Linked DNA regions of Coturnix japonica. The protein of the gene in region 1 binds, or shares a complex with, the protein of each later gene. Links are inferred from orthologs where the notes say so. Each region holds a gene or a part of one and is shown in the gene's direction. Other genes may lie near its edges.

Evidence for each region.
Region 2: RRN3 (region 1) and TAF1A share a complex: the UniProt entries of both Homo sapiens proteins name them as parts of the pol I pre-initiation complex. The link is inferred for Coturnix japonica from reciprocal best matches to the Homo sapiens genes RRN3 and TAF1A.
Region 3: RRN3 (region 1) and POLR1B share a complex: the UniProt entries of both Homo sapiens proteins name them as parts of the pol I pre-initiation complex. The link is inferred for Coturnix japonica from reciprocal best matches to the Homo sapiens genes RRN3 and POLR1B.
Region 4: RRN3 (region 1) and POLR2K share a complex: the UniProt entries of both Homo sapiens proteins name them as parts of the pol I pre-initiation complex. The link is inferred for Coturnix japonica from reciprocal best matches to the Homo sapiens genes RRN3 and POLR2K.

What each region holds. Positions count from the first base shown.
Region 1 is NC_029529.1:38,409-45,871, reverse strand, and holds part of RRN3 (RNA polymerase I-specific transcription initiation factor RRN3), read left to right. Parts: intron 1-359; coding exon 360-449; intron 450-534; coding exon 535-664; intron 665-1,131; coding exon 1,132-1,191; intron 1,192-2,689; coding exon 2,690-2,753; intron 2,754-3,258; coding exon 3,259-3,328; intron 3,329-4,849; coding exon 4,850-4,948; intron 4,949-5,313; coding exon 5,314-5,403; intron 5,404-5,857; coding exon 5,858-5,993; intron 5,994-6,870; coding exon 6,871-7,001; intron 7,002-7,463. UniProt on the Homo sapiens protein: Required for efficient transcription initiation by RNA polymerase I (Pol I). Required for the formation of the competent pre-initiation complex (PIC).
Region 2 is NC_029518.1:15,721,110-15,728,387, forward strand, and holds part of TAF1A (TATA box-binding protein-associated factor RNA polymerase I subunit A), read left to right. Parts: intron 1-820; coding exon 821-1,019; intron 1,020-1,363; coding exon 1,364-1,494; intron 1,495-2,326; coding exon 2,327-2,485; intron 2,486-3,537; coding exon 3,538-3,604; intron 3,605-4,785; coding exon 4,786-4,906; intron 4,907-6,069; coding exon 6,070-6,230; intron 6,231-7,080; coding exon 7,081-7,202; 3' UTR 7,203-7,278. UniProt on the Homo sapiens protein: Component of the transcription factor SL1/TIF-IB complex, which is involved in the assembly of the PIC (pre-initiation complex) during RNA polymerase I-dependent transcription.
Region 3 is NC_029518.1:13,952,004-13,958,999, forward strand, and holds the end of POLR1B (DNA-directed RNA polymerase I subunit RPA2), read left to right. Parts: coding exon 1-110; intron 111-476; coding exon 477-610; intron 611-1,049; coding exon 1,050-1,220; intron 1,221-1,807; coding exon 1,808-1,964; intron 1,965-2,731; coding exon 2,732-2,928; intron 2,929-3,327; coding exon 3,328-3,581; intron 3,582-5,107; coding exon 5,108-5,990; 3' UTR 5,991-6,406; downstream 6,407-6,996. UniProt on the Homo sapiens protein: Catalytic core component of RNA polymerase I (Pol I), a DNA-dependent RNA polymerase which synthesizes ribosomal RNA precursors using the four ribonucleoside triphosphates as substrates.
Region 4 is NC_029517.1:116,284,051-116,292,185, forward strand, and holds POLR2K (DNA-directed RNA polymerases I, II, and III subunit RPABC4), read left to right. Parts: upstream 1-3,988; 5' UTR 3,989-4,008; coding exon 4,009-4,083; exon of another isoform or gene 4,084-4,114; intron 4,115-4,884; coding exon 4,885-4,948; intron 4,949-5,652; coding exon 5,653-5,745; intron 5,746-5,914; coding exon 5,915-5,937; 3' UTR 5,938-6,403; downstream 6,404-8,135. Other genes in the region: SPAG1 (sperm-associated antigen 1), read left to right, coding at 7,574-7,713, 8,079-8,135. UniProt on the Homo sapiens protein: DNA-dependent RNA polymerase catalyzes the transcription of DNA into RNA using the four ribonucleoside triphosphates as substrates.

The sequences.
Region 1 (7,463 bases):
AGTAAGATTCTAAGTAAAACAGATACATTGTTTGTGAATGAGGTTTGCATACCTTGCTCAGCTTGTTACATAAACTTCCCATGCAGGCTGTTGGTCGGCCTGTGTGTGTGTATTCTTGCGTTAAAGAATTTTCATTGGTGAGGGTGCAAGTTTAGTTCAAGAAATTTCTTCTGTGCTTGTATGAAAATAATTTTAATTTACAGTCTTAATCTTTGACTTGTGATTCTGTGGGTTTTGCTACTCAAAAAAATTCTATTGTTTTTGGTCATATTTTTATTAAAATAGATTTGTGATTTTTTTATTTTATTTTTTTTAAAATACATATATTATTCCTGTATATTATTCCTGCTTATATTAAGGATGCCCAGATCATTAACTGGCTGCATGAATTTCGAACTTCTGTCACATATCTGACCAAGGACTTCGAGCAACTGGTCAGCGTTTTGCTGGTAAATACTGATTTATTATATGGAAAGGTTAAGAGTTTAGTACTCAAAACATCTGTTTGACACCTTGGTCTTTACTTACTTTCAGAAGCTGCCATGGTTGAGAAGAAGCCGAGAGGTAGTGGAAGAATATCTGGGTTTTCTTGGCAATCTGGTGTCAGCACAAACTGTCCATCTTAGGCCATGCTTGAGCATGATTGTATCCCAGTTTGTTCCTTGTAAGTTTTTTTTTTCCCTCTTAATATTCTTAATTATTTCAAAATAATTATTTTGTATATGAGTTGTGTATGCAGAATTATACATCACAATCTAATTGTATATTTTCTATTGATTACTTTAACTTTAATGACTGGATTGCAGTACAAACCATTTTATGTACCTAGACTTCAGAAGATCTATTCTAATGGGTAACTAAAACTCTAAAGGCTGTTTATTTAAGATGTTTGGGAGGGGGAAGAACTGTGTAATGTTACAACTGAAAAAAAGAGTCTCTAATGGTGATCGTATGAGATGTTCTTAAGAACCTCCTGGTTTTCTGATTGAAACAGTTATTTCAGAAAGTCTTGTGGATAATTTTGATGTTTTAGTCACACTGAAGACTGTTGTCAGTGCACTTCCATTTAGCATTGGAATTGTTGCCTCATAAATTTGCACAGTATTCCAATAATGATCTCATTTTTGGTAGCTCGAATAACCATCAGAGAGGATGATGTGGACATTTCAGATTCTGATGATGATGAAGAAAGTGAGTATGGAAGGAAATATGGCTTACGAATGCTTTTGTAATGCTTTTACTATGTTGGTTTATTTTTGCTAAATTACTTTGCAGGAGTTGATATAAAACTTTAGTAGCTGTACATCCTTAAATTACAAAGTCAGGAATTTTTTTATACTTGAATCAATGGTGTTATGAGTTAATCCTCATTACTTGCAAAATACTGGTATTTACTGGTGCAGTATTTTTAAGATTCAAGCTGAATGTTCAGGAGAGCATTCTTAGTCCTAGATAGTGTCAAAGCCAAAGGATAGGGAGGAGTTGTCTGTTTTCATTTTACTTACTTCAATAAAACTGGTCTGTTTGGGAAATTCTTGAGGCTTTTTGTTGTCTGCTTGTGGTAAACTCAAATACAATTGATATAAATAATGAAAACTATGTGTTTATTGATTAGACAGATTGAATTCTTACAGGATAATTAACTATCTGCATCTTTGTATCTTGAATGCTGTATTGAATTTCAGCTTGGGTTGACATACCTATTCCTCTGGTGTTTGCTTGTGGCACTGTTTGGATTCAAGGGGAAAAAAAAATCATAGAATCACAGAATGGTTTGGGTTGGGAGGGACCTTTAAGATCATCTCATTTCAACCTCCCTGCTGTAGGCAGGGACACCTCCCTCTTGACCAGCTTGTTCAAAGCTCCATCCAGCTTGGCCTTGAATGCTTCCAGGTAGGGGGCACCCACAGTCTCTCTGGGCAACCTGTTCCAGTGTCTCTCCACCCTTACAGTAAAGCATTTCTTCCTAATAATAGCTAGTCCAAATCTTGCTCTCTTCCAGTTTAAAAACATTTCCCAGAATTCAGGTGGCTCATCTCATTATTGTTAAAGAAGCCTAATTATTTGTGTTCTTGTTTTAACTCTTGCTAAATAAGGCATAATTTTTTATTTTTATCTAGTTTCTCACTTGATTTTAATGTATAGTGTGCCCCGGTGGTGCAGTGGTAGGAATGCCACCTTGCAACACTGGGGCTCGGAGTTCTAATCCCCCCTGTGGCACAAGAGGTAGAAGTGCTGCTCTGCTACACAGAGGCTCGAATCCCGGGGGTTGGACTCGATGATCTCTAAGGTCCCTTCCAACCCGCACGAGACTATGATACTATGATATTTTCTAAAATTTTTTTTTTTTTGGGGGGTGTAAATTTTCAGTTTCCGAGTTAGGCATTCAGCGTAAGTAGTATGGCAACAATACCTGGCTTTGGTGGTGGTGGCAAATTAAGAATTTGTTAGCATAACATGAATTGTACTTGGAGTTAATTTTCATAGTTACTTTAGTAGTTGGGCAGTCCAACTTAAAAACAAAAAACAATGCAAAAAAAAAAAACCAAAAAAACCCTGACAACAAAACCCAGTGAATGCCGTCTCCTTGGGGATCTTTAAAATGTTTAACTGACTTGAACTGTTTTAATTGATTCCTGAGTTAGTTTTCTGCAACCAAATGGATAATAGCACCTTCTTCGTTCTCTAGGCCTTTCTGAAAATTTTGATACATGCCACAGAGCATTGCAGACTGTCGCAAGATATGTTCCTTCGTAAGTATTTAATTCCTTGGTTTCTTCTGCTCTTTTCTTATGACAATAAAGCTTGGATATAAAGCTCAAGAACATATATATATATATATATAAGGTATATATATAAAAATATATATAAAAATATATATATTTTTTTCTTCTCCATATTGGAAATGCAATACTTAATTTAATTGAATGACTCTTCCTAATGCCCAGTAACTGATAGGATGTTATATCCAATCGTAAAATGCCAATAGACATCAGCAGCTGACAATCCTGTTAATAGCAATAGGAAACACAAGGAAAGTCATGCTTATAGCAGCTGACTTGAGGTAGCTTTTAACAAATCCACAGTAAAAGTTTACTGCCTGTTGTCTCTGCAGTAACAGAACAAATGTTATGTAATCAGTTATCTTAAAATAACATTACTGTGAAGTAAGAATAAACTGATTCCAGTCTGTTTTTGTAGTGCTGGAGCTTGTTCTCATGATAACAAACTGTATTTTTTTTTTCCCCCTTAATGCAGAACACTGCAGTTTCTTATGCCAATACTTGTGGAAAAATTTCCTTTCATTAATAAATCAGAAAGAACTCTGGTAAGAACTGTGAATATTACATCTATTTGTTCACTCACTTCTTAATATAGGAAAACACTCTACCGTATAATGATTGATTTGGTGGTATTTTATGCAGATTTTTGAATGTGTCGTTTAAAACTCTTGTAATTTTTTAACTATGGAAACATATGTCCAGGTGTGCCTGTATCATGAAAGGTTGTCCAAACATGCTTAAGTTCCCTGTGCATAAGCATTATGCAGCTGTTTAATGAGATAATTGCATGTCTTTTTCCACGTGATTGTTTTCTTAATCAGTGCACAAGATGGCCTTCTTTGATAATAAGTCTCAGAGTTGTGTAGTAAGGATAATGTGGAATACCTGTCTCAGTGTAAAAATTAGAAAGTATTCTTTGGAAGAACAAGGAATTTGATAGGCAGACAGAAAGCAATGGATGATTTAGATGAAATCTATAGGATAGGTTATTGTGTAGTTTTATTACATGTCTGTTACGATGCTCCTGTGTGGTGGAAAGCAAGCTGGAGACTTTGAAAAGTTACTGTTCCTGTATGGTCTTTATTTTCACTCTTTACAACTTGATATGTTGTCATTTGCTTGCTCTACTCATTAAAGTCAGATGGAGCTGTTTTGAACCTCTCAAGAACTACTTCTTCCCTCCCTGCACTGAATACTTGGCACTTCTTGCTAGATTTTTTTTTTTTTTTTTTTTTAAATCCAAATAGCTTTGGGCATCAAATCTGTATCTGCAAAATGAGGTAGATGTTGCTCAAAGGATGTTAAGGGATTTATTTATCTATTTATTTATTTTAAGTATTTCACTGAGATGCGCATTGTGGAGAAATTTTTTCAGGGTGGGACTCAAGTGGAGCATAATTGACATGTTGACCGTGCATTGTTGCTGAATATTTTCAGCTTATAGATTGTCATTAAACTGGTGCTGTCTGTTATATGCGCTGAGCAATATAGCCTGTTGAAAAATTGTGTGTGTTTGTGTAATTAAGGGTTGCATTATATTACATACTTACAAAGAGACTGTGGTGCACTTAAATGTGTCTTTTTAGCTGCTTGTATGTATTAGCTTGACACTTCTACTCTATAAAGTTGCACTTTTGCCATTTGCGTTTGTATATGTGTGGGAGTGCATGTTCACTTACAGAACTTGTTGGTTCTAATCTGTTTGAATTGTAATCAGAAAAACTCTAAGGATGTTTAGCTGTGGTACTTAGAATTGTCTGTTTATTATAGTAACCAGAAATGAAGATCTCTTGGCCTCGCTTCAAACAGTGCTGCTAGACCTGATTCTAGAATTTTTGAGTAATATGCTTGTTGTTTTCATGTTCTTGGGAAGGTTTATGCAAAAAAAAAATCATATGGAAATTGATGACTTATGCTTATTCTGCTGGAGATACTTGGAAAAAGGTACTTTTCACCTGTATCTGTCTCTTTAAATGACAAGTTAGGAAATATATTTTGTAAAAATCCTTGACATCCTAGACTTTCAGTTAACATTCTTATAGATATCTCTTAATTTTGTGTTATAGGAATGTTATGTTCATAACCTACTACGAGTTACAGTGTACCTTCCAACACTGAGGCTTCAGATTCTGGAACTTATTGTTGAAAAGCTGCTAAAGTTGGATGTGAGTTTGCTCTGTATAGTCTTTCAAAGAAGAATTACGTTAAAATACTCTTCAGTATTAAGCTTAACAAAAATTATGTTCCAGTAGAACTCACGATCATCAGAATAGGGCTGTTGTGGTTTAACGTGGCAGGCTAAGCACCACACAGCAGTTTGCTTGCACCCACTGTCCTCCTTGTGGGATGGGAGAGAAGCTGGAGGGGGCTTTTAGCAAGCTGGTCTAGAGGAGGTGTCCCTGCCTATAGCAAGGGGCTTGGAACTAGTTGATATTAAAGTTCCCTTCCAACCCAAACCACTCTGTGATACTGAACAGGAATGTTTCATATTGCTGTTATGGTCTTATAAAACTTAATTTCTTGTTTGTAGGTTAGTACTCCCCAGCAAGATATTGAAGATGCTGAAGAAGCTGCCAATAACAGTGAGGAAAAGTCTACAGAGGAGGGACTTTTTGACATGGTTGTTTATTTTGTTTGCTAAGTTTTTTAGTGGAATTTTCACCTTTGAAATCCTCTGAAACTTAACTGTAATAATACATTATTGCTTTGTTGTAGCTGATCTGTAAACAGGAAAAATGAAACAGATTTTCAAGCCTGAGTAGCTGACAAATGATTAATGTATTCTCCCCATGCCAAAATTAATCATATAAATATCCAGAATATGTATGGTAGATCAGTTTCCTTATGAAAAAAACTCAGGCAGCTGTATATAAAGCTTATTAAAGAATTAGTTGTAATTGACTTAGTTTACAAAAATGTTGCTTAGACTGAGCTGTACTGGTGTTGCTTTAAAAAACAGCAACAAAAACTTCACCATGAACATAGATACTTTGTTTCATTTTTCTCTATATAATTATAATTAAGTTATGGCATAGTGGTTACGCACCCTTCATATGCACTATCTTACCTACCAGGAGGAAGATGATGAAAGAAAAAAAAACGAAGTTGTCTCTCCCAGTAATGAGAGAATGGCCCATCCACTTGCAGAGCGACTGGATATTTTGATGACCATCCTGTTTGCCTATATTAAAGATGTTTGCCACGTGGATGGTAAGAATACAGGAACAATAAATTTGTTTTTCTAACAAATAGGAAAAACATACGAAGAATTCTCTATTGCAGCAGCAGAAAGTGAGTCTTCATCCTTTAGTTGTAGAGTTCTGCTATTAGTGCCTTCTGGGCTTTGACTGAAGCTGAAGGTGTCATTAACAGCCTGATCTTTAGTTGGAGACATTTTGACTGCATAAATATGGCACTGTACCCAAAGTGTAATGTGTTGGGAGTAAGAATAAATAGTTTTCTTTTTTCACTGTGCTATTAAACTTCTTAGGGGGGTCAGAAAAACTTTCTAATTAACCACAGTATTTTATTGTTTGCTTTGCTGTTTTAAGTATTAGAATTGTGGATCCTTTGAATATCGTAAACATAAGTAGTAGATTAGACGAACCAGGCTTTTCACTCAGTTGGAAGTGGTAAAGGACTTGTATTAAAGGAAAAACCTGATTTTATTTATGTATCTATTAGGAACACAAATCTTACACTAGCATTTATTAAGGGGCTGAATATTAGACTTATTTAAAACAGAATGTTTAGAAAATTGTTTTATCACATTAGTGAGGCAATTTTATTTTTTAGTATTTTCTTTTGCCTCTTCTGAAGAAGCACGTTTGCAGCCTGTCAGTATTGCACATGCTTACATTCACAGATATAATCTAATGTAAAAAGAAGTATATGAGGAATAATTGAAGTTCTGGAAGGTCTCACTACAAGCATTTTATTTTAGGCGCTTTGTAAGCTTACAAGTTAGCTTGACAGTAGCTTTGCTTGTTTCTTCCTGATTCAGGAAGATAAAATGCCTTTTTCACAACATGAGGGCAGGAATGAAACTGACGTGACTCATTTTTGTTTTCTGTTTGTTGTTGTGTAGGCAAGCTTGATATCAACAAGACAAAAGATTTGTATCGGGATCTTGTTTCTGTTTTTGACAAGCTCATTTTACCAACCCATGCTTCTTGTCATGTACAATATTTCATATTTTACATCTGTAGCTTAAAATTGGTGAGTACAAAGTGTTGTTAAAATGAAGTGTCTTTAAGTCTATACTTTATATTTTCTTCAAGAGTGAGTTGCTTTTTTTCCCTATAGGTCTACAGTATGTTTTCTCTGAAGTTTGTATATCAGGATTTATTAGTATCCTTTTTCTCCTTGCTTTCTGTTACTCCTTTTTTCAAACTCCTGTTATATTTTATTATTATTATATTTGTTATATTTTCAACCTTCCCCATGCTGTTCATAAATGGCAAGCAGCTCAAAACCAGCCCATTGTGAAGGAATGTAGTAATAGAAGTCTTTTACACGAGTCAGTTGGACTTTTAAACCTGAGGCATAGTAATCTTGCAAATTTGATCAGCATCCAAAAACTGTGTTTAGCTCTTCAATTTGGAATTTGTATTTACTGATTGTTCCCTCCATTTTTCCATCTCTTAGGCAACAGACAATTTTTTCTCTTTACCATTCTGA
Region 2 (7,278 bases), on another chromosome or scaffold:
GTCTCCAACACTAGTTCCATACAAGAGTTTACTAACTAAAAGTTTGGACTCTCATCCAATGCCTAATCAATATGATCGTGTAGTAGGGCATTCCTTTTTCAGGTTTTTGGCAGTTGCATAGCAAATTGAAACTCGGTGTAACCCTAAATTCAGGTCACTTCTAGCTCTTCTAAAATAGATTCAGCGTTTACTAACGGTAAGCAAGGTTTTGAGCCATGTGCTTTCAGCTGCCTTGATAATAATTACAGCTGAACGTTTACTACCTTATTGATGGTTCTCACCCACACAGATTTCAAGAACCCTTTAATAATCTTTCTTCACCATCTTCAAACTGGAAAAAAATACTTAAGTTCTTACTGGAATAGGCTCCCCAAGGGAGGTGGTTGAATCTCCATCCCTGGATGTGTTTAAGAGCTGTTTGGATGTGGTGCTCAGGGATATGATTTAGCAGAGGGATTTTAGAGTTAGGGTACTGTGGTTAGGCTGCAGTTGGACTTAATGATCTTCAAGGTTTTTTCCAACCTGGGTATGATTCTATGATTCTTGGTGCACACTTCAGTCTCCTATTGACACTCGCCTTCTCCCACACTTGGTTTTTATTGTCAAAGCTCTCTATGAATACACTGTTTGAATAAAACAATACCTGTAAAACCTGCTTCGAATAGAAATATTTTGCATGTTTGCTTTTTTATTTATTTATTTTTTTATGTCAGTAATGAGTGTCTCTTCCCTTTCACTTCCATGCAGGTGTTTACTATATTATTGAGATTCTTTCTATTTATGATGTGAAACACTGTGGTATGGACTGCTTGAATTGCAGGTTTGTTTAGAGCATGCCTTTCATCTCCTATGTAATGGACTGATAGATGAAGCCTACCAAAACCTGTCCCTGGCAGAGAGTTGGAGGTTTGGAGAAAAAACAGCTGTTCAGGATAAAGAAATGAAGCTGATTCAGGCTTACAGGGGGCTGCTGGACTACTATATCTGGTCCAATCAGAAGAACATACTGTTAGAGCATGGTAAGTCCAAATACTGCTTTTGTATTGAGCTGTAAACTTCTTATTCTTGCAGGCATTGCTGTTTGCTGCAGTCATATTTCCATATAAGCTACTCTTCTGTCTGCATTTACATATGAATGCACCAAAAGGAAGTACTAGCCTTCAAAAGCTGAAGGTATTGATGGTATACAGATAATCCTGCAACAGTTCTGGTGCCAAAATAGAGTACTAACATGCCTTTTTTTCTTAAAAAGTATTGACTGGAGCCCTTTGCAAAATGTAATCACCTTGTAGGTACACCACTTCTTCAAGATAGTTCTTAACTAGGAAAGCTAACTCTGTGGCATTCTTTCATGTTTTCATAGGGAAGGATGGATTTGAAGACTTGTCTGTTGAACAGGAAATGAACAGTCGCTTTCGGAAGGCAGCAGTGAGCTTAAAGGAGATCATTAAAATACCTGGAATCTGGGATCTCTTTGTGAAAGCCTATGTGGATGTAAGAGTGTATTTTATAGGTCTCTTCCTTTTGTGTTTGCCTGTCTAATTTTCATTTAGATACAAGTCTGTAGTTCAGCTGTGTGTGTGGATGACAAGTAGTTTAAAAACAACCTCTGGATTTGATTTAGGCATGTCTGTAGGACTGCAGGGCCTGCGTAGTGTATAAAAAGGGCTTTATCTGTGAGCTGCCAAGGAAAAGAGGCAACCAACTTGCACATTCTGTTTTCCTGGTGCTAGCAGAGAAATTGGAGCACAGCTGCTTTGTTTAAATTCCTGAAAGCAAGTTCTCTTTTTGGCAGGACGATGTTTTTCTGGTGGTACTAAATCTTGGAAGCCAAACATGCGGTCCCTCTGTTTTTTTGGTGGTTTTTTTTTTTTTTTCTAAATATCTGCTCACAAATTTTAACTAAGAAGTGAATCTTAGAATTGGAAAGGTTCACTCTAAGTGCAGATACACTCAAAGAAGTCAGAGTGTTTCTTATGGAATTTTACTAGATGCTGACAGCTGCCAAGTTCTCCGAGTTCTCTTCAAAGACGTGGCAGTCTGCTTCCATTTTTTTTTTTTTCCATTGAGGAATGATGGTGATTCTTTAACAACCAGGGAAGTGCTAATGTGATTTTTCCTCTGTAGCTGCTTCTGTGTGTGAATTTTTAGTTAATTATGTTAAGAGTAACCAGTAAAATTAAAATACTTCATTATAACTCACATCCAGTTTGCTATGCTGCTAGATACAAATGGTGCTGTTGGGTAGTTCTGTAGCAGCCTAGAATGAACTGTAAGTGTTTAATTGCTAATGTGAAGTGAACTAATGACAGGCTTAACTTCTTAGCTGATGGAATTCTACGGAGACCACCAAGAAGCTCGTGAAGTATTAACGGATTATGCTTACAATGCAAAGTTTCCCACAAATCCCAACGCTCATGTTTACTTCTATCAGTTCCTAAAGAGACACGGTGAACCAAAGAAATCACTCATATCTGCTCTCAAGGTATATATAACATATAAATGCAGTCTGTGGTTGTTCATTTTGCATAGTGGTCTGTTGGTTTAGTTGTCTCCTGTTGTAGTATTTACCTTATTGTATTTTTTTAATGGGAAGCAAAGGGTTGGGGTGTTCTAATGGGTGGAGCAAATAGGATCCCTTACTGTCTTTGTTCTACATGTGTAATTGATGCACCGTAAGGTCAGTAAACAAGCTCAGATCAATTTTCCATGGCTCAGGAAGTACATGTAGGTAAACATGCATTAATTTCCATTGTAGTTTGATCTTTACAGAGTTGAATAAATGATGAGGTGCTTGCTTTTTTTCACACACCAATCCCACCTCGCAGTTAGTTTCATTGTTCTCAATAAGCAGTTAACTTAAGGTTCAGTAGAAGTTTACTTCTACTGACTGTTAGATAAAGCCCTGCTGCATCATTGCCCTTTGTGTAGCTGCTTTAGCTTCCCCCTTTTGTTGCCCTTGCGCACTGATAACTTTTCCAATAATGTTTTTGAACCTCTTTTGCCACTTGATGGCACTAAAATGCTTTTGTTTGGGTAAATGGTTTTAAAACAGCTTCATTGAGTTTAGACTTGGATCGTGGCCGTTATATGTAAAGTTTCACCTTCACAGTGTGTTATTTATTTTTCACATTAATTTTATAGGCTTAATTTTATAAGATAGTGGCAAATCTGAAAACTGGTCTGATACATCCTGCGAATGCACAGAGCAGATGGGAGCTGGAACTGGGCTAGGGGTTGCTATCTGAAAAGAAGACACTGGATATAGGCTGCTGCTGGAAACGTTGCAGTTGTTGCAGGGTTTTTCAGTAGTCATGAGGGCATTTCATCTGTATTATCACCAAGCAGTGTTACAGATGTGCAGAATAGCTTTCAGTCGTCATTATTTGTATCAAGACAATTGGGTACCTGATTGCACAGTTTTCCTACAATACTAAAGAACTCTGCAGACATTGCTGCTTTGGATTTGGTAGAAGCCTTCAGAAGCTTTTACATCATTTTAATGTATGTTTTGGGTGTTGTTTTTTTTTTTCCCAGAGCTTGCATGATATTGTTCCCTCTCACGAACTAATGATAGATTTTAATACTATGCTTCAAAAATCAAGTAAGTCTTTAAATATATTTGTTCTTTTCCTTTATGTTAATCTAGAATATTATGAAATTGTTCTAATTTGCACTGAAGTAGTTGTGCTTATTAAAAGAAAAATCCCAATGTGACTTTCTGATCACAGGAACCTTCAGTGCAGATGAGTTAAGTAGGTATTTACAGGCTGTGTAAACAAATGCATGTTGAAGTTTAAAGGCTGACCAAGCAGTAGGTTGTAATGCACAGTCAGGACCTCAAAAATGATTTGTTTGGAGGTACTCTAGTCTGAATGCTCATTTCACTATTTCTGAGGTACACCGTTCTAAAAGCTAAACTCAGTATTTCCATTATGGTACCTCTTTTCTGGAGGAGCTGAGATGGATTTATGCATTGGTTTGCTATTTATCAAAAGAACAACATCTTAAGTGAGTTTTTTGGAGACAGTTTTGGAGACTGCTTTTCCATGCTGATCAATTGCTTTCCAAAATGGGCATCTTCTTGCAACCTGGTATGTTCTAGCAAGTCAGCAGATGGATGGAATGTCTTGGAATCAAATTTATCCTCTTCTGTTGTTCCTCTTTGTGAAAAATAAAAATTCTTTTGGCTGAAACCTCCCTTTTTCTGTTCACACATGATATGCTTGTGAAATTCCTGTAGCTCTTGAAGACAATCTGATTTTTGAAGTAGTAATTTATACTGGTAAAGATTTCCAGCTTTTACGTGCTGTAGTAGGTCACTTTTAAGAACGCCTTTGGTATATTGGCTGCTGTTGTGAAATACCTGTTTTATTCATATCAGTCCAATTTCTTTGTTTTGATATCTCAGCACTTGAAATGTTCCAGGGCGCTGTGTTCTCTTCCCACAGGAAGAACATGTTGAACAACAGCACCGGCTGGAAGCACTGATTACAACAGCAGCAACTGTTGTAAGGAAGGCAGTGTGGGTTAAGTGAGTGGTCTTGTGTGCCTCTTTGAGTCAGCAGCATTTAAGGAGGGTCTCTGCAGTGAAGTGTGCTCTAGACCCATGGACACTTCCTTGGCATTCTCTCTTGGAAGAGGCAGAAAGCAGTGGGGGGAGCCCTCAGTAATAGGGAAAGCAGCGGTATGTGGGAAGGCAGTTTGGAGAATGTTTTCCCTGTTGCTTACTAGTAAGTTCGTATTAATCCAACTGATTCATTTATCAGCCTAATTTCTTTCCAGAGAAACAAAAAAGACGTCGACTGGGGCTAGAAGTTATTTTTGCAGTCTTGGATTATGCTGGCTGGAAGGAAAGTGTAAAAGCATGGAGTTGTTTGGCGAGACAGGTGAAACAAATTGTAATGTGAGTGTAACTGATGTAAGGTGCTAAAAGAGGAATGTATGTGTCAAATCTCCTCCTGCGGGCAGTTGACAAAGTGACTCTTCTGTAGTCTTTGTCTTTCATGATGGCAAGTGGAAGAGTGGGCTGGCCTGTACTGAGATCTGTGGCTGTGCTTGGCTGCAGCATGCTTTCAGTGGCAGGAAAGAAGAAATTATTACTGAGAGAAATTCTTAAATTTCCAGTATTATCATTAGCTGAATTACCAGGTGAGGTGTTTATGCAGAAAATGCTGTTCAAATGTTTGGATAACATTTACTGCCTGTCACTGTTCTCCTTCCAGGAGGAAAAAAAACCCAACAACATTGTTTGGTCTTCTGCTATTAAACATATATTGGTTGCAGCAGATTTGAGGATGAGTGTGCTGCAAAAGGGATGTGGTGCGTTGTGCTGTTGTGTCGTGTTCTTCTTTGATAACTTTGGTGGTAACTTCTTCAGAATACAATGTGTTCTTAAAAGCCAAGTCAGAGTGCCTGGGGACTGATAAATACTTGCTTGTGTGTTGGGAGGAGGACTCTGTTTTCAGGAGCTCCATCTCCAGGCAATCCATGCTCAGAAGGTCTCTAATGTCTGGGGTTTTTTTTTCCCCAAAAGTAGAGGTTTTAATTTTTCTTTTAAGCCTTGTATACTTACAATGAATCAATTTAGTACCGCTTGACCCATTTTGCTGTTTTATTGCTGCCTCTACATACTCAGAAGGCCCGAAAGTTAATGGATTAAAACTGAGAGTGTTGTTGCATATAGTTAGGAAAAATGGTACAATACTTCAACTTTGCCTGTAGTTTTGCTTTTGAGAACACAACTTCAGAGTACCTTGAAATATACAGGGCATCTTAATCACTTTATAGGAATATCACTTCCCTGTTTTCAATTGTAAAATACTGTAAGGTCTCCACTGCCGAGTTAACTCCACTGAGTTAATGGAGTAAGGTAAGTATATGAAATACAGTAGTGTTTAATTATGCATAGATTTATCCAAAGTTTTTCTTTTAAAAAGAAAATTGCTGCTTAAATAGTTCAGCCTGCAGTGTAGTGTCAAAGTCTGCCAGCACACCAAGCTGATTATAAAACTCAGTGCCTCCTCTTTACTATTTCATCTCAGTTTTTCTTGTTTTACCTTTTTGCAGTTCTGAGAAGCATCTTAACTGGATTAAGAAGGAGTGGAACTCCAGAAAGGACTGGTGGCCAGCCTTCCATTTTAGCCGCTACTTAGCAAAGAGGAATTGGCAGGAAAATGAAATCCTTTCGTATGAAAAAGCTCTGGTGGCTGGAGTTCTACTAGGAAAGGGTAATACTAAATGTTCTTTCACACTGTGTACACTAGAAAAAACACCTAGTTCTAGCCCTAATGAGATAAGATGCAGCTGGTCTACTCCCTGGAAGAATGCTGTTTCTTTCTTCTAGGAAAGACTGTGGTCTTTGAAGTTCTATGGGAGAAAAACATTTAAAATGGTTTGATATTCCTCATTTAGAGACATACATTGCATAACTTGCCTTATCCCAGGTTTGAGTTCAATTTTATTTGGCCTTGTTGAGCAGTCACAATACTACAGACTCTGTTTATAACCTTGAAACCACAATTTCAAAAATATACAGCAGGCTCCTGAGGCTACAGAAAGTTTGCTCACTGAGCTACAGTCTAAGCAATGTCTTAGCAAATACTGAGGGTGAGGTGATCCTTAAGGACCTTGTGAGTGATGAAGCATAGAAAAGAGGAGGAAGGAGGTCTTGAGTGAAAATAGTCACTGTCCAATAAAAAAAAAAATGAAGATCAGGACTTCTATGGTGGTGTTCACTGAAACATTGATGAAATCAAGAAGTGGTGACGAAGTTCAGAATGAGAATATGGTGTGGAGAGCATAACTTATCTATTAAGTTTGGGCCTTTAGTTAATTAGAAGCTTTATTCTTTCAGTTCTGTACCTTACCTTCCAGACTCTGTAGAACAGTTTCTTGAGTTGAAAGCCTGTTTAGGTCTCAGTAATTTGATGCTGCAATTATGTTGATAATGTGTATGTCTTTGATTGTTTTATTACCTTATTTAATAGGTACTTGCATGCTTGTGTGTTACTTAAAAAGCAGAAGTGTTTTGTTTGCTTGTATGACAAAGCTGACATGGCTTTTTCTTCTCTTGCTTAGATTGCAAGTACTTTAAATACGTGTCACGCCAAGGCTGCAGAGCTCAGGTGAAAAAGTTTCGGACTCTCAAGAAATTTGTGAATAAGCACAGTAGTGCCTACCTGAGCATATCTGGTCTTTGAGATTCCTCTGTACAACTGTGATTAAAAGGTGTCTTGATGGTCTTGCTGCATTCTTTTTACCCTTTTGAAACTGGCT
Region 3 (6,996 bases), on another chromosome or scaffold:
CACCCCAGATGGAGAGCCCTGCGGTCTGATGAACCACATGACAGCTGTGTGTGAAATAGTGACAGAGATGGTTCCTGTGACAGACCTTCCACCTATGTTATGTGCTCTAGGTACAGTTTACTTGCTCAGTTATCTAATGAAGCAGTCTTCATTTTTACCTTTCTGCCCTACAAACCCATATGTGGAAAATGTTCTAGTAACTTGAATTAAACTGCAGCTCCTCCAGTGATTAGCACAGTGATGGGAGTTTTGTTTCATCCAGAAGAGTGCTGGGGCTGGATGGGAAATGGCATTCTCACTTGTGCACATTTTATGTTTTCCATCCAGTCTCCTCTACCACTTTGCCCTGTCCAGATGTTCTGAATTTTTTCTGATGGCTCATAAAGCTGTTTTATGTGGATTGAGGCTTCCTGCAGAAATAACGTGCATTTGTCTGCTTTTTTGGCTGTTCCCTCCCCTGCCCCATCTTGTCACAGGTGTCGTCCCCATTGATGCGACCCCAAGCAAGCCGTACGCTGAGTGCTACCGCGTGGTGCTGGATGGTGCAGTGGTGGGCTGGGTCGAATGGGACCTGGCTCCTCAGGTTGCAGAAGCCCTCCGGCGATTCAAGGTTGTCTTCTTTAAAATGTGACTTACCTAAATGTGCTCCATATGCAGTGGCCAGAAATAAACCAAAAGACACCAGAGTTCTAAAGAAGCCTAACTTCTGTTTGCCTTTCAAGTCTGACCTGATAATTTATCTTATTCTGCATGTTAGTATTAGGCTTTTTGTTTTTTCTTGTATTTATTCTAAGTTTGGTCTCCTGGTTTATGATGTTGACACTGTTGTGAGAACTTATTTTTTCAGCATGGTAGAAGTAATCTTGGTGGAGATATTACTAGAAATACCTTCTAAATTTGCTCTTCACCATTTTGTATTAATAGCTACATCCATGGATGGATCCATGCTTGGTAGTTCCATTGTGGGTGTGAACCTAGCCTGTAGGATGCAGCTTAACTAAAACAATATTGGTTTGTATTCCTAAATCAGTGTTCCTTTACACAAACAGATAACACAAGAGAAGAGATTTCCTGCACGGGCCGAAGTGGTCCTTATCCCAATGACAGGAAAACCCAGTCTGTATCCTGGGTTGTTCATCTTCACTACCCCTTGCCGAATGGTGCGGCCTGTCAAAAACTTGCAGTATGGAAGGAAGGAATGGATTGGTACTCTGGAACAGGTAGGTTTGCATATTTCAGTTATAAAGCGCTGCCTGTTACAGCAGTATCCTGCATAGAAGCGGTATATTGCATAGTGTTCCTCAAAGGAGCTGAGAATGAGACGTAGGTAGCTTGTGCTGAAGAGCTGGAATAGGTGGCCGAAGGGTTTTCTCACTTCTAGCTAATGAGTTTTTGGTACTTTTCTTAGAGGTAGGCTGGAGAAATCTTTTTCAAGTAGTGAAGTCTGCTTTCACTATTAACATAGTGAATGTTTCTTTAGGTGGATGATCGCTGTCTCATCGCTTTTTATATCACATTCTGCAGATTACCAGTAAGCAGCCAAGTAGTGACTTGCCTGGAAACTTGATAACTTGGAACAATTAAAATGAGAGAGAGGAACTATGATGCGTATCGCAGTTTCATACTTTCAGACCTGCTTTCCTTGCAGTTGTCTGTGATTGTGGTAGAGTAGTTCAGTAGTTGTCTGATGTTTTACTTGCCTGCACACTGAGGTACAGTCAGCAACCACAGCTAAAACTGAAATGAGAAGTCACCAGGGGCAGCTTTGTCTTGCTTCTCCAACGTGTCCTATGTGTGATTCTTGCAGGTCTTCATGAACGTGGCCACCATGGAGTCAGACGTTGTGCCTGGAGTCACCACTCACCAGGAGCTCTTCCCTCACAGCATTCTGAGTGTGGTGGCCAACCTCATCCCCTTCTCTGATCACAACCAAAGTCCACGAAACATGTACCAGTGCCAGATGGGTACGTACTGTAGTGCCTACAGCTGCAAGTCTTCAGGCAAGGAAAGGGGGTGGGGAGAGAATCTCGTGTGTGCACCCCCACGCTGCCACATGGCAACTCTTCCCAGCAGTTCTTACAGCTCTAAAGTTGATTGCCATGAAATAAGTGACTGTTAAAGAAGTCAAGTTTATCATCCAGACAGCATTCCAGTGGGCAGTTCTAAATTGTAGTGCTCACAGTGCCTTAAGTCTTTGTCAAGTTGTTTGTGGGTTTTTTTTTGGTTCTTTTGTAGGCTTTTTCTTAAATTTGAGGTTGTTGATCACACAGGTTAGTGTGAGGCACTGCACCAGCTGCTTGGGGCTGTCAGTATTAACAACTGTGCTGGCAGGAGTTCTCTCATCCCCCAGCTGGCAGAGGTTGACCTGCTTCTCACAAGCAGCCAGGGTAAATGCTCTGAAGTGGTGGAGGTTTCTTTGCACCTGTTCTCAGTGGCTGCACTATCACTGTGACTGCAGCTTTTGAGAGAGCAGCTACTGGGCATTTGTTGCAGGATATTAAAATGGCACAATGGAAGCAGTTCTTGTTTTTTTCTCTGCCAGTGATTTGATTAACTTGGTTGTCTGCCGGCAATTGGGATGTGGTATGTAGATGGAGTTTCAATTAGTTGACAAGCAAGTGATAACTCATTTTAGGTATTTCCAGCCTTGTCCTTAATAACATGCCTGGAGGACAGAACACTGTTTAACTGTGAATTGATCTTACGTAAATACAACTTTCTTTCTTTATAGGAAAGCAAACCATGGGGTTTCCAGTGTATAACTACAAGGACCGCTCAGATAACAAGTTGTACCTCCTCCATACCCCTCAGAGCCCTCTGGTGAGGCCCAGAATGTACGACTATTACGGTATAGACAGCTACCCAGTTGGTACCAATTCAGTTGTGGCTGTCATCTCCTACAGTGGCTATGACATGGAAGATGCAATGGTAAGCCACCAAAAGAAGGGATTATACTGTTCTGCAAAGGAATTTGGCGCGGGCAGTTGTGAAGAAATGTGGTATGCAGTTGAGAAGAGCCCATTTTCTGCTTTTGCTAGTCAGTTCCATTAGGGTTGACACATGCTGTTATGCACCTTCTGCAGTAATGCTCAAGGTAGTGAGAGTAGAGCAGAGCTCCCTAGTGCAAGGCTGTGGGCTTCCAGCATTGATTGAAAAAAATGAGATTGTTAGAGACCTGAGCCTGTTGGAGTGATTATTGGCTGGGAGGTTTGGGGTTTTTTTTAACGTAGGATGGTGTTGTTAAAAGGTGTGCATCAGATCAGAATGGAAATGCTTTCTTTGAAGTTACTAACAAGTTCTTAACGGCATTTTTTTTCTTTCTCTTAGATTGTGAACAAATCTTCCTGGGAGAGAGGGTTTGCTTATGGAAGTGTTATCAAGATGGAGAGCATTGACCTTTCCCTTAAAGGCAACAGGGGAGGTGATAATTTAGTATTTGGTATCAGGCCTGGGGACCCAAATGTAAAGGAGAAGTTGGATGCTGATGGACTGCCTTTTGTTGGCTCCGTCCTGCAGCCTGGGGACCCATTCTACAGCTATATGAATCTCAACACAGGGGAGACCTTCACTGTGTACTACCAGTAAGTTCAGCTTGTTCCTTCTGTCCCAAAATATTGAGTAGTCAGTAGCAGTGGAACCTGATGAGATGCTCTTCTAGGTGTTCCCTTTTCCTCTCACATAGCAGTTAAGGTGTCTGTGTGTTTATGGAGCATGACATTGATGCATGTTGTGTGGCTTGGAGTCAGTGTACGCTCAAGAGCTGCAGCATCTGACTTATCCTAGGAAATAAGTCTGGGAGTGGTAAAAGGAGAGAACTTACAGAAATGTTTTGCTGTCTCCCCAGTGCTGCCCGTCTGTCCGTCTCTGTCGTTTTCTGCAGTATTATGTTAACTGAATTGGGTGCTTGGTCCCCAGAGACTTGCCAGTCTCTTGCCTGAAGCTGTTGTCAATACAACATCATGCCCTGTCTGCAGCATTTGTAGAGTGAGGATAGTACTGTTATTCATGCTTAGAGAGAAAATTAGCTTATGAAGTGCTTGGTTAACAGAATAACCAGTTTTTATTGGGAAAGCTATCTATTAATACTATACAATGAGTGCATTCAAACTGCATTGGAGAGATAACTGGTTGTGAGCAGAGCAGAAAGATTGAGTACGTGGCAGTGAGGACTGCCAGAACTTGCTGTCAGCTCAGCCTTATGCTCCTTCCCTTGTGGATCCTGTTCTGGCTCCCTACTCCGTATTCCTGTTTGCCAGCTCTTTTATGCCAGCCTCACCTTAGTTCAGGTTCCTTACCCGTACACCCATTTTACCTCTGAACTCTACAGCGCTTGTTCATTACGGTTCTATATGAGGTATTCATTTAGGTTCCTATGGAGAGGTTCCTTGCTCTCAATGTTGCCTCCTGCCCCCAGTTTCCCCAGAGACCCTGCAACCTGAAGGGGCAACTCTCCCTGCTGTTCTAACTGTGCTGCACACACTGCTTGGATCTTAAGCTTGGCTTGGAAGGGGTTGAGAGCAGAGGCTTTGACTCAGAGTTCAGCCTGCAGCAGACATCCAGCATGTGAAACATCTGCTGAGGATTCACTTGAAACAGCAGCGTAGCCCCAAACACCTGTTGGCAAAGGGCCCACTCAGCTCTCACTGTGCCTTTGCTCTCTGCTCCTGAGCTTTCCTCTCTGAGCTTTGCCCTGAACCTGTTCATTTATGCTAGCGTCCCATGAGGACAACGCTAATTTATTGCACAGGAAAATGCTGCCTTGAAGCAAAACAACTGGCATGTCTGATGAGATGAGGTACTGATGAACCAGGTTTCAATGATTTGTACTTTATTCTCACAAGTGACACATTACCTCATCACGTGGAATTTGCAGCTGTGCCATTGGCATTAGAAGCAGCAAACAAATGTCACTTGGGTGATACCTTTGTTTGGCTGCTGTGCTCCAATTCTTACGCCCTCTGATTTCCCTGAATGATATTCTTCAAAAAAACGTGATCCCCAGATTTTATTAGACTTAAAAGTGGTTTGGTGTCTTTGCTTCGTTTCCTAGCTCAAAGTGACGAGCGCATCTGATACCTTTGCTGTCAATGTTTTTCCACCTACACAGGAATAAAGAGGTCGGCATTGTAGACAACATCAAGCTGTGCAGTAATGACCGTGGCACTGGGAAATTCAAGAAGGCCTGCATCACCGTCAGAGTTCCTCGAAACCCAACTGTTGGAGATAAATTTGCCAGCCGCCATGGGCAGAAGGGCATCCTGAGCCAGCTGTGGCCCGTCGAAGACATGCCGTTTACAGAGAACGGGATGGTTCCAGACATCCTCTTCAACCCCCACGGGTTCCCCTCACGTATGACCATCGGGATGTTAATTGAGAGCATGGCGGGGAAGTCAGCAGCGCTGCACGGTGCCTACTACGATGCCACTCCCTTCACCTTCACGGAGAAGAACTCAGCCTTGAAGTACTTTGGTGAGACTTTGGTGAGCGCGGGCTATAACTTCTTTGGGACAGAGAAGATGTACAGCGGAATCAGCGGCGTGGAGCTGGAGGCAGACATCTTTGTGGGGGTCGTGTACTACCAGCGCCTGCGCCACATGGTCTCCGACAAGTTCCAGGTGAGGACAACGGGCCCTCGGGATTCCGTCACCAACCAGCCCATCAAGGGGAGGAACGTGGAAGGGGGGATTCGCTTCGGTGAGATGGAGCGTGATGCGTTGTTGGCTCACGGCACCTCCTTCCTGCTGCACGACCGCCTCTTCAGCTGCTCCGATGCCTCTGAAGCCTATGTCTGCACCAGCTGTGGCAGCATGTTATCTCCTCTGCTCCAGCGCCCACCACCTTCCTCCGTGGCAAGCAACAGGAGGTACTCCTGCATGCTGTGTGGCAGTATGGATACCATCCAGGTCATCCCAGTGCCCCATGTCTTCTGGTACTTCTTGGCCGAGCTGGCAGCCATGAACATCAAGCTAAGGCTCACGCTGGAGCACTAATCCTGCAGTGAGAGAGAGGAAGCACGCCTTAGTCCTGCCCCTTATGGGCTTCAAGGGTTAAGTTCTCAGGTTTGTCAGGCAGTTCACAAGGTTAATTTCATGTTTGCGTTGTGATGGGGTGGTGCCGCACGGTGCAGAAATGCGGTCCCATTGGTGTTTGCACGTTGTAAGAGATTGCTATTACAACGTGTGTGGAAATCAAGCAGGATCACTGTTCCTACGGGCCGCCGGCTTGAAAGCGGTGTGAGTTTTCTGTTTGCTGAGAGCTGGCAGCAGCTGTAAAGATGAATAGGTCACAAACAGCATGAAGCGAATGCTGGGAGTGACGGTGCATTGCACTTTTTTTTTGTCATTATTTTTTATTTCAATATTTTGACCCAAAGAAGAAAGCAGATGGCTTTCCAGCCTGGCTCTTACCTTGGCTCCAGCGCTTCTTGGGTTGCAGAGGTGCACGGCCACAGGCAGGTTCTCAGCCCTGGGGCAGACTGTGTCCCCAAGTCCCAGCGGTGGCTGTGGCCTCTCCTCAGGTATGAGCCTCGTCTGGTTGGCACCAAGATTTTTATACATGTTAAGAGTTCTTTATATGTTTCTTTAAAAAAAAAAAAAGCATTTAAAGCTGTGGCTGCAGCCAGCCTTGCTGCGTCCTCCTGGGGGATCCAAGGGCAGCCAGGGGGGTGGTGGGATCTCCTGCCTGCCACAGTGGCTCAGGGCCGGCCTGGGTGGCTCTCCCAGGGCTTGGGTGGCCGCGGGAGCCGGGAGGCTGTGGGGCTGTCGTTTGTGGGTGAGGCGTTGGGGTACCGCACCCCGGCTGGGGCCTGGCCCCTCTGCACCAGCTGCAGCAGCTCAGCAAATGAAGGGGTGGCTGGGGCCGGGGGGGCTGAGTCCCCTGTCTGATCCGTCATAGCGCTGCCTGGCTCCATCATGGCGCTGCCTGTGGCCGTACCACTGTAGCGGGGGGGAGGAGGGGAGGAAGGGCGCTACCACTGTGTGTGAGAGGGGGAGGCTG
Region 4 (8,135 bases), on another chromosome or scaffold:
GAGTAACCCCAGTTCCCTCAGCCACTCCCCATAAGACTTGGGCTGCAGACCCCTCACAGCCTTTTTGCCCCTCTCTGAGCACCCTCCAAGACCTCAGTGTCCTTCTTGTAGTAGGGGGCACAAAACTTGCGTGTAGTACTCGATGTATGGCCTCACCAGTGCTGAGTACAGAGAGAAAAACACCTTCCTGGTCCTTCTGGCAGCTCTATTACTTACATAAGCCACTGGACTTCTTGGCTACCTGGGCGCACACCACTGGCTCATGTTCAGCCAAGTGCAACTAACACCCCAAGGTCCATCTCCTCTACACAACTATCCAGACATATTGCTTTGTTGTCTACAGTGAGTAGACTGCAATGCCAGTCCAGAGGACCGTGAAACTTGAGAACAGTCTGTGAGACCCTGACATAAAGGTCTGTGGAACCAGACTCATGGCAGTACAAAACAAGATATGTTTAAATCAAAGAATGCACCTAAATGAAAAGAATTTTTGCAGAAAAATTAGAATTAGAAGACAAATTTGGCCTGGTTATTTTCCCTTTCCCATATATCTCTACGAGTACATTATTTTCATCTTACTCTAGTACCTCACCTTTGCACCTGCTTTTCCTCATTGCTTTTTGCTCTTTCCTTGGATACACTCATTTAGCAAAATGAGAATGGAGGAAATTTGAAATACCACAACACAAAGTATATATTACGTTTTTAAGCAGCATAAAATTGCAGGGGAAAAAAAGGTTTTTACTGCTGTTGGGATGATCAGAACGGCAGAGTTAAAGCAGCGTTGAAACCTTAAGCAAAAGTGAAAACTACAATGTCAGTGAGCCAACGTCCAGCAGGAGGAGCCTCCGAGCTTCCTATATGGATTTTGCCTGTATACTAGTTATATTCATAAAAAATACTAGTTATATTCATAAAAGCTACCTCAAAAAACATTTTCAGACTCATTTACTGCTTTATAAGGCACTCTTATTTGATCTACCAGTTTTGATGTATAAAACCGAGAGTTTACTACTTCAGGATCTTGAAGTAATTGCTGGAAGTGTTAGGTTCCTTTTAGGCATCAGGAAACAGACAAGCGAGGAAGAACAGACTAGTCATATAGTAAGGACATATCAAGCTTGCTAGAGAAGAAGGAACAAAAGACATGCCTGTCCCTTCAATTTCTCTAATAGTTTTTTCCAATTCTGTAGTCTTCAAATTGGCCCACAAGTCAACAGCAAACTTTCTGGCAGTTTACAGAACAAAGAATTTCATGTTCATAGAGCCAAACTAAATAAGGGCAGCATTTGGACATTTGATTGAGAATAATATATGACACACCTAAGCTTAGAAAGCATTCTAAAATGGAGGAGGAAAGAATGCTGTTTACTGGAAAGCAATGTGAATGGCTTCTGTACCACAGATGAGTTCTAGAATGGAGCTACCCAAGCTTGATTCTAACTTACATTCCTTGGTAATGCACCCTGTACAAACCTGCCTCTAACAAAATATTTTCTACCCTTATTTGTCACTGTCCATCCTGTTAACCGAACAGATAAAGGTGAAGCTTTGGTAATACAGATCTACTTTATCAGATGTTTCATTAGAAATCATACTTGCAATAAAACTGACTTTATCTGAAGTCTCTAGTCTTAGAGCTCCCAGATCTAATGCCATCGATACCTTAGTTCAATCCTTTTTGTCAAATGGGGTTAACTTACCCTATTTGTGAGGCAATTGAAGATCCTCCACAGCAAATATACTGAATTCAAAGCACTATTTAATCCCTTACCGACAGCCTAAAGTGAGACAGGGCACGAGTAGAAAAGAGAGGTACAAAAGAAACGTTAATAAGAAGTGGGACGACAGCTGAGAAAGCTTCCCCTCTGTCTATACATGCTTTCACTGCCACATCCACCTACCAGCAATGAGGATAACTGATGCTACCTAGGGAGCAGTGTCGGGGTGAGGGGGCTCTCTCAGTCACCTGGACTGCTGGACACGAACACACAGCTTCACCTCCTTATCTAGCACACTGCTGGGCTGAAGAAACCGACCATAGAGGCCCCCACCACCGAGAACAGCCTGAGGAGGTCGGCGGGGCTGCCAAAGGAGATGAAAGGCGAGGCTGCCCTCCCTCCCGGCCAGCTGGCTGGGAAAGGCGGGGATCCTGCCGCCTCCACAGCTCGCCGCCCAGCTTCAGGGCCCGTTGCCCTTAGTGAGAAGCCGCTTCGCTTCTCTCCACCCACACCGGCTTCTCACGTGCGGCTGCAGCCGCTTTCCCTCGCTTGGGTTTGAACTGCCCGCCTTTACCAACCGCTCCGTTCTGCCACCCCAGTAGCGCAGCCCTAAGGCGAGAGCAGGGCGGGGGACGGCCTGAGGAGCGCTGCCTCCAAGGATGCGGACGGCACCATCTGGGCTCCGTGCTCTCATCGTACTTTATACTCCAGCTCGGCGGCTCCCGCCGCTCCCAGCCCTCCATAAAGCGCCCCGGTGCGGCCCCTCTGCCCGTCCCGTTCTGTCTCTCTCAGGAGCCGGGCTGAGGCGTTCCCGCTGCTCACAGCTTCTCAGAGTCGGGCGGGAGGCACCTTCAGCGGGTAGCCCGAGCCCTCACAGGTGGAACGTTGTCTGCACCAAGAGCTTAAAATCTGAGATGTAAGGGTGCTGATTAATTCATTTTAATTAGCTTATTTGTACCCGACAGCTCAGGAGCTAGATAATCATACAGAACTTCTGTTTTTTCTTTCATGGTTTACGCTTACGGCTCCACCAGAAACACTGTGAGATAAAACATGCTTTAAATCGTTGGGAGTAACTCCGAATGTAACGCCTCCACCCAGGGCAGAAAGATGGAGGTTCTCCGTGGTAACTAAGGCTGAGCAGGGCGGGCTCCATCCCCCCCAGAGCGGGGAAACGGGGCGTCTCGGTGTACGGGTAGTGCGACCGGAGGGTAACTGTAACGGGTAAAAACATTAGGGTTTTTGCGCTGGTTCCTCGTTCCATTTTAGAATGCGAATTAAAGAGTTTAGAAATGGAATCCAGGGTTTCCCAAAGTGCTTTCTGTAGCAGTTTCACGCCAGTCGGAAGAATTTCTCTTCAGGACCGGCGTTTATCAGCCCGTCGGAACGGGGCTATACCCCGAGGGAGGCGGCGTGAGGCACAGAAGTAATGGACGTTTAAAAAGACTCCATCCCACCGGGGAGCAGTTAAATGATGGATATAATCAAGATAATGAATGATTTTCTCGGGACAATCGATATATATTTTTTTCTCATGGGGTATAATTAGTAAGTAGGTTTTAAAGCATCACCTCGATGCTTTAATCATTTCGTCAAACCCGTTTTAAAATACAAAACGAGTGCGGGGAAAGATTATCGGCTTTACTTTAATTTCAGTGATTAGTTACTTGTGAGGTGTTAATTACTTTGTGTCCATCACCGGAGGAAGGGATCGTTCCGTTTTGGTTGGTTGATTTTTGCTCCCGGCAGCAGCTCCCACCTCGGAGGACCCGGGGCAGCGAACATCACTGCCGTGCACGTCCCGTTATTCTTACATGTGTTTTATTCCGGCACTAAGAAGTTACACTTAACTTTATTTTCGCACAGCAGCAAGACAAAGCCGATGAGCCGCCTAGAAATCCTTAGCACGTTGTTATTACTTCTAGCTTTCCCCAGGAGACGGTTGTTATTCGGCGTTCGGAAAGACGCATTTCCTCACATCAGGGAGATGTTATCTACAGAGCAGTATTTGTTATACGTTCTTACGTACCTGAGGACGTGCCATTACTCACACAGGGACGCCTAAGGGGCACCCAGCACTCGCCCAGCTGTAGGGCTGAGCCGGTGACTGACAGCACCGCGGCTTGCCAGTTTGTTTCAATGCGGGAATACATGGCACAGACCGCAGGGTACCGAGATTTAGTTACCAGCGCCAGGCTCAGCTCACTAGCGCTTCCAACTCTCACTCCCCCAAGGCTCCATCAGCCGCTATCCGCTGTAAACCCGACACAGCGCCTTAAGGACGGCGATGCAGACCCGCCCCCTCCGGCTTTGCGTAGTGACGCCATCATTCGGCGCCGAGGGGACGGCGAGGAGTGTGGAGGTTGGTGCCGCTTTCGGCTTATCCCTGCCGGGTTGGTGGTGGTGGTAGATTCGGGGTGAGGGGGGAGTGGGGAAAGGGTCGACCAAGCCCCTGGGGGTCAGTGGGGAGGAGGCGTGGCTGGCGCTGAACCGAGGCGGGCTGGGGGGGGATCATTGAATCATAGGCTCATAGAATGAGCTGGGTTGGAAGGGACCTCAAGGATCATGTAGTTCCAACCCCCCTGCCTGGCAGGGCCACCAAACATACACATTTACTAGATCAGGTTGCCCAGGGCCCCGTCCAACCTGGCCTTGAACACCTCCAAGGATGGGGCATCCACAACCTCCATGGGCAGCCTGTTCTAGGACCTCACTGGTCTCCTAGTGAAGATCTTCCCCCTAATATCCAACCTAAGTCTACCCTCTTTCAGCTTAAATCCATTTCCCCTTGTCCTGGTATTATCAAGAAGGGGAGAAAAAATGCTTTCTTTCTCTGTATGGTCACAACCTTAAAACGTAGGTCTGCAGTAATACCTACATGTTAGGTGGGGGTTGCTAAAAAATGAATTGTTTGTGGAGTAGTTGTCTGATATTGTGAAGGAATGTTGGTGAACCTGAAGGCAAAAGGTTAGCGTGCCAGGACAAACAGAAGTCCTTTCCAATGTGTATCATCTTATGTAGCATATATTAAACAGAGCTTGAATATTTTTGTATTTATTTTAAAAGAACTTTTTCAATTTCTGTCAACTTTAGATGGAGATATTGAAATATTTGTGTAAGACAACAACAAAAAACATGTATTTTATTTGTTGTTTTTGCTTAGAACATGGATTCACAGAAGGACGTTCAGCCCCCAAAGCAGCAGCCAATGATTTACATTTGTGGAGGTAAAGAAAAGACATTAGTGGTATTCAATGCTCTAATAATGAGGAATGTGCAGTCATAGTGCCACAGAGTACAGAAATCTACATAACTGGGTTGTGGATCCTGATGATGCATTAAGCTTTATGCACTGATGCTCCCATATGCATGGATTACTTGTGGTTATTGATGTGGAAGTCGTTCACTAGAACCTCTGTTGCTGTGTGGGGGTCCTGCATCTCTAGAGGATGATAGCAGAACTTTTATATATTGCATCTTGGAGACAAAGTTTTTTTGGAAATAGTGTTGTCATTCAACTTTCACTAATGCACAGTTGTCAGATTTTCTCTACCTAAACATAAGTTAATAAAGTGAAAATTGGAGCTTTTGAGTAACCACTTTAAAAGCCTCAGAAAAATTTAGGCTTAAGAAAATAAACTTGGTGGCTCGGAGGGGCTGAGAGGAAGGTTTCATTAGTGGAGTGTGGAATGGTACAGTAATGTTTGGATACTTTTTAGCAATCTAAGTTTGCCAATTCTTTTTTTTTTTTTTTTCCTTAACAGTATCTTAATATAATTCAGTTACTTATTAAAATTCACTGCAATTATTTTCTGTTATGCTTTGTTTGCTAGTAAAAGGAATTAGACCATTGTTACATCTGAAAGCTATCTGTGCTTTAGATATGCTGCTTTTGTTCACTCATTGCTATTCTCCTTCTCCATCATATCAGAATGTCATACAGAAAATGAAATAAAGGCAAGAGATCCGATCAGATGCCGAGAGTGTGGGTACAGAATAATGTACAAGAAAAGAACAAAAAGATGTATCCTTTTACAAAGGCAGTCGAATGCATTTGGGAAGCTGTGGGGCAAGCTGTGTAAGAAAATTGACTTCAGATTTATGCATTCCCTCTTTTTGTTCTCCTTGACCCCTTTCCTCCCCTGATCTTTCCTTGAACTGCAACGCATTTTTCTTTAACTGCACAATTCCAGTGGTGGTTTTTGATGCCCGGTGATTTGACCTGAAGATACATCAATTTTATACTTCAGTTTAATATTTCTGGCAACTTTGCTCTGTAAATCCATTGGTGTATAAATGCATAGTTTAGTGGTTTAAGATATTAAAATATTAAACTTCACTGTGATACTACTTGCCATACCATCTCAATTCTGTCTATACTACTTTTAGAAATGGGTTTCTTCCTTAAACTTTAGTCAGAATGTGCAGCATTCTGTTAAATTCATTGGTATTATATTCATTTTTGAGTTAAGTGTTAACCTTGTTTTCACAGCTCACACCTAAGCCTTACCTGTGTTTCAGCTCTTCAGTGTTTTTTGGACTCCTGTGAACTGCATAAGATAATCTTGGTTTGAATAAATCCCAGTGAAGACATATTGAAAGTCACGCAAAATCAGGTCTGAAATTTGGATTTGAACTCGACAGGACCCAAATCAGGATAAAAATAAATGTGTAAATAGAGATTCTCAGGCTGTTTTGTGACCTTGCTTGTACTCACTAAAATAAGTAGGTCTACAGTATAAAGAAACCTTGGATAAGGTAAAACTGAAATAACGTCATTTTGCTTTTCGGATGATTTCTCATGAGTCTGTATTAAGAAGTGGTTGCCGTTTTGTACTGATAAGCCCAAACTTTTTGCATCCATTTTCCTGTTCAGAACATTTATATTCAGAATATTTAATACTAAAATACCCATAGCGCCAATTTGTCTTAAAAAACACTGCTGCTTTGTGTGTGGTGCTAATTTAGCCTGATTAAATGCTTGCAAATCCAAATTTTGTTTCCAGTGCTGATGAGGCTGTTGAAAGACAAACATGTCATTTCACTGTTATCTGTACAGTATGATACCACTATTAGGGGGTGTGCTGGCTGCTGCAGAAAGCAACAGGGATGGGTTTTAGTGGGCCCAAGGTTGTGGGCAGTGGTGAGGCTCAGGGCACTTGGAAGAGCGTCGGACTGGATTTAGACTGGATGAAATACTACACTGAAAGCTGATGTTTTATGGAAGCTCAAACTCAACGGCTGTATTTCTGAAGGGAATACCCTCTCTGAAGTCAAATCATTTTTAAGAACCATTTTATGGAAATTATATTTAATAAAATATAAATTAAAGCAGTGTTATATGTTCCTAATAGTCAGAACGTTGGAGAGCTGCAGCTCGAGCGACCCCGCGCTGACAGGGCCGGCCGAGCCCCTCAGCTATTCACTCACTACGCGGCGCTCCTTCGCCATCGCTCCGCTGTGCATGCGCGGGCAAGGCGGGCGTCCACGGCGGAGGTGAAGGCTGTTAGGAGCGCGGTAGGTGGGTGTCAGGGCCGTCGTGTAACTCCGTGTCCTCCACAGAGCCGGCGGGGCTCTGCGGCTCCTCGCAAGGGGTTGGCTGTGTGGTTTCTTGCGGCTTCTCCGTCTATTACCTCCCCACAGCGCCGCCGGCCGCCATGTTGTACATAGCAACGGCTGCTATGTTGCCATTGCTGCCTCTCGGTAGATCTCCGTGAAGAAGAAATCGTGGCATCAGGTCATCAGGCAGTAGTTCTGCTGCAATTAGTACCTTGTAGCATTAAAACACGGCTATTCCTTAAATTAGCATTGCTCTAGCCCCCAGAGATTTATTTTTCTTTTAATGTTTAGTGATGAGTGATGCGTCAATAATGTATTTGCTGGACCAAGGAACTACTAAAACATATCAAATACCTATTGGTCATCTCGACTACAAGTTCATTGAAAAATGTACGGATGTTCCATACCTGGAAAAGATTCTCAAGGTGCTAAGGTAAACGTTATCTTTAATGAACTTCATTACTAATTGTATTCCCATTCTATCTCTCTTGAACCTCTTTGTAGTTTTCGTATTTAAAACCTTGAAATTAAGATGCACTGTGAAAGTAATTGTGGTAAAAGCGTCCAGATGATTAAATGAAGAGTTAGAAATTCAAGTCCACAGTGGATCTGTGTCTGTATGTCTGCTGGAAAATGGTTAACTGAGATTTTCTGATCAAAATCAAGAGGTGATAGATTTCAGTTAGAACAGGAAAATAACACTCTATAGTCACTGCATACAGACAAGTATGGATGTTTGTGGGGAATGCAGCGTAATTTAGTTCCCCTGTGTAACTTGCTTATGTGTTCATTTTAAAGGTCTGGTGAAGAGGGATGTTATCCTGACCTGATGTTGTTTTGTGAAAAGCGTATCGA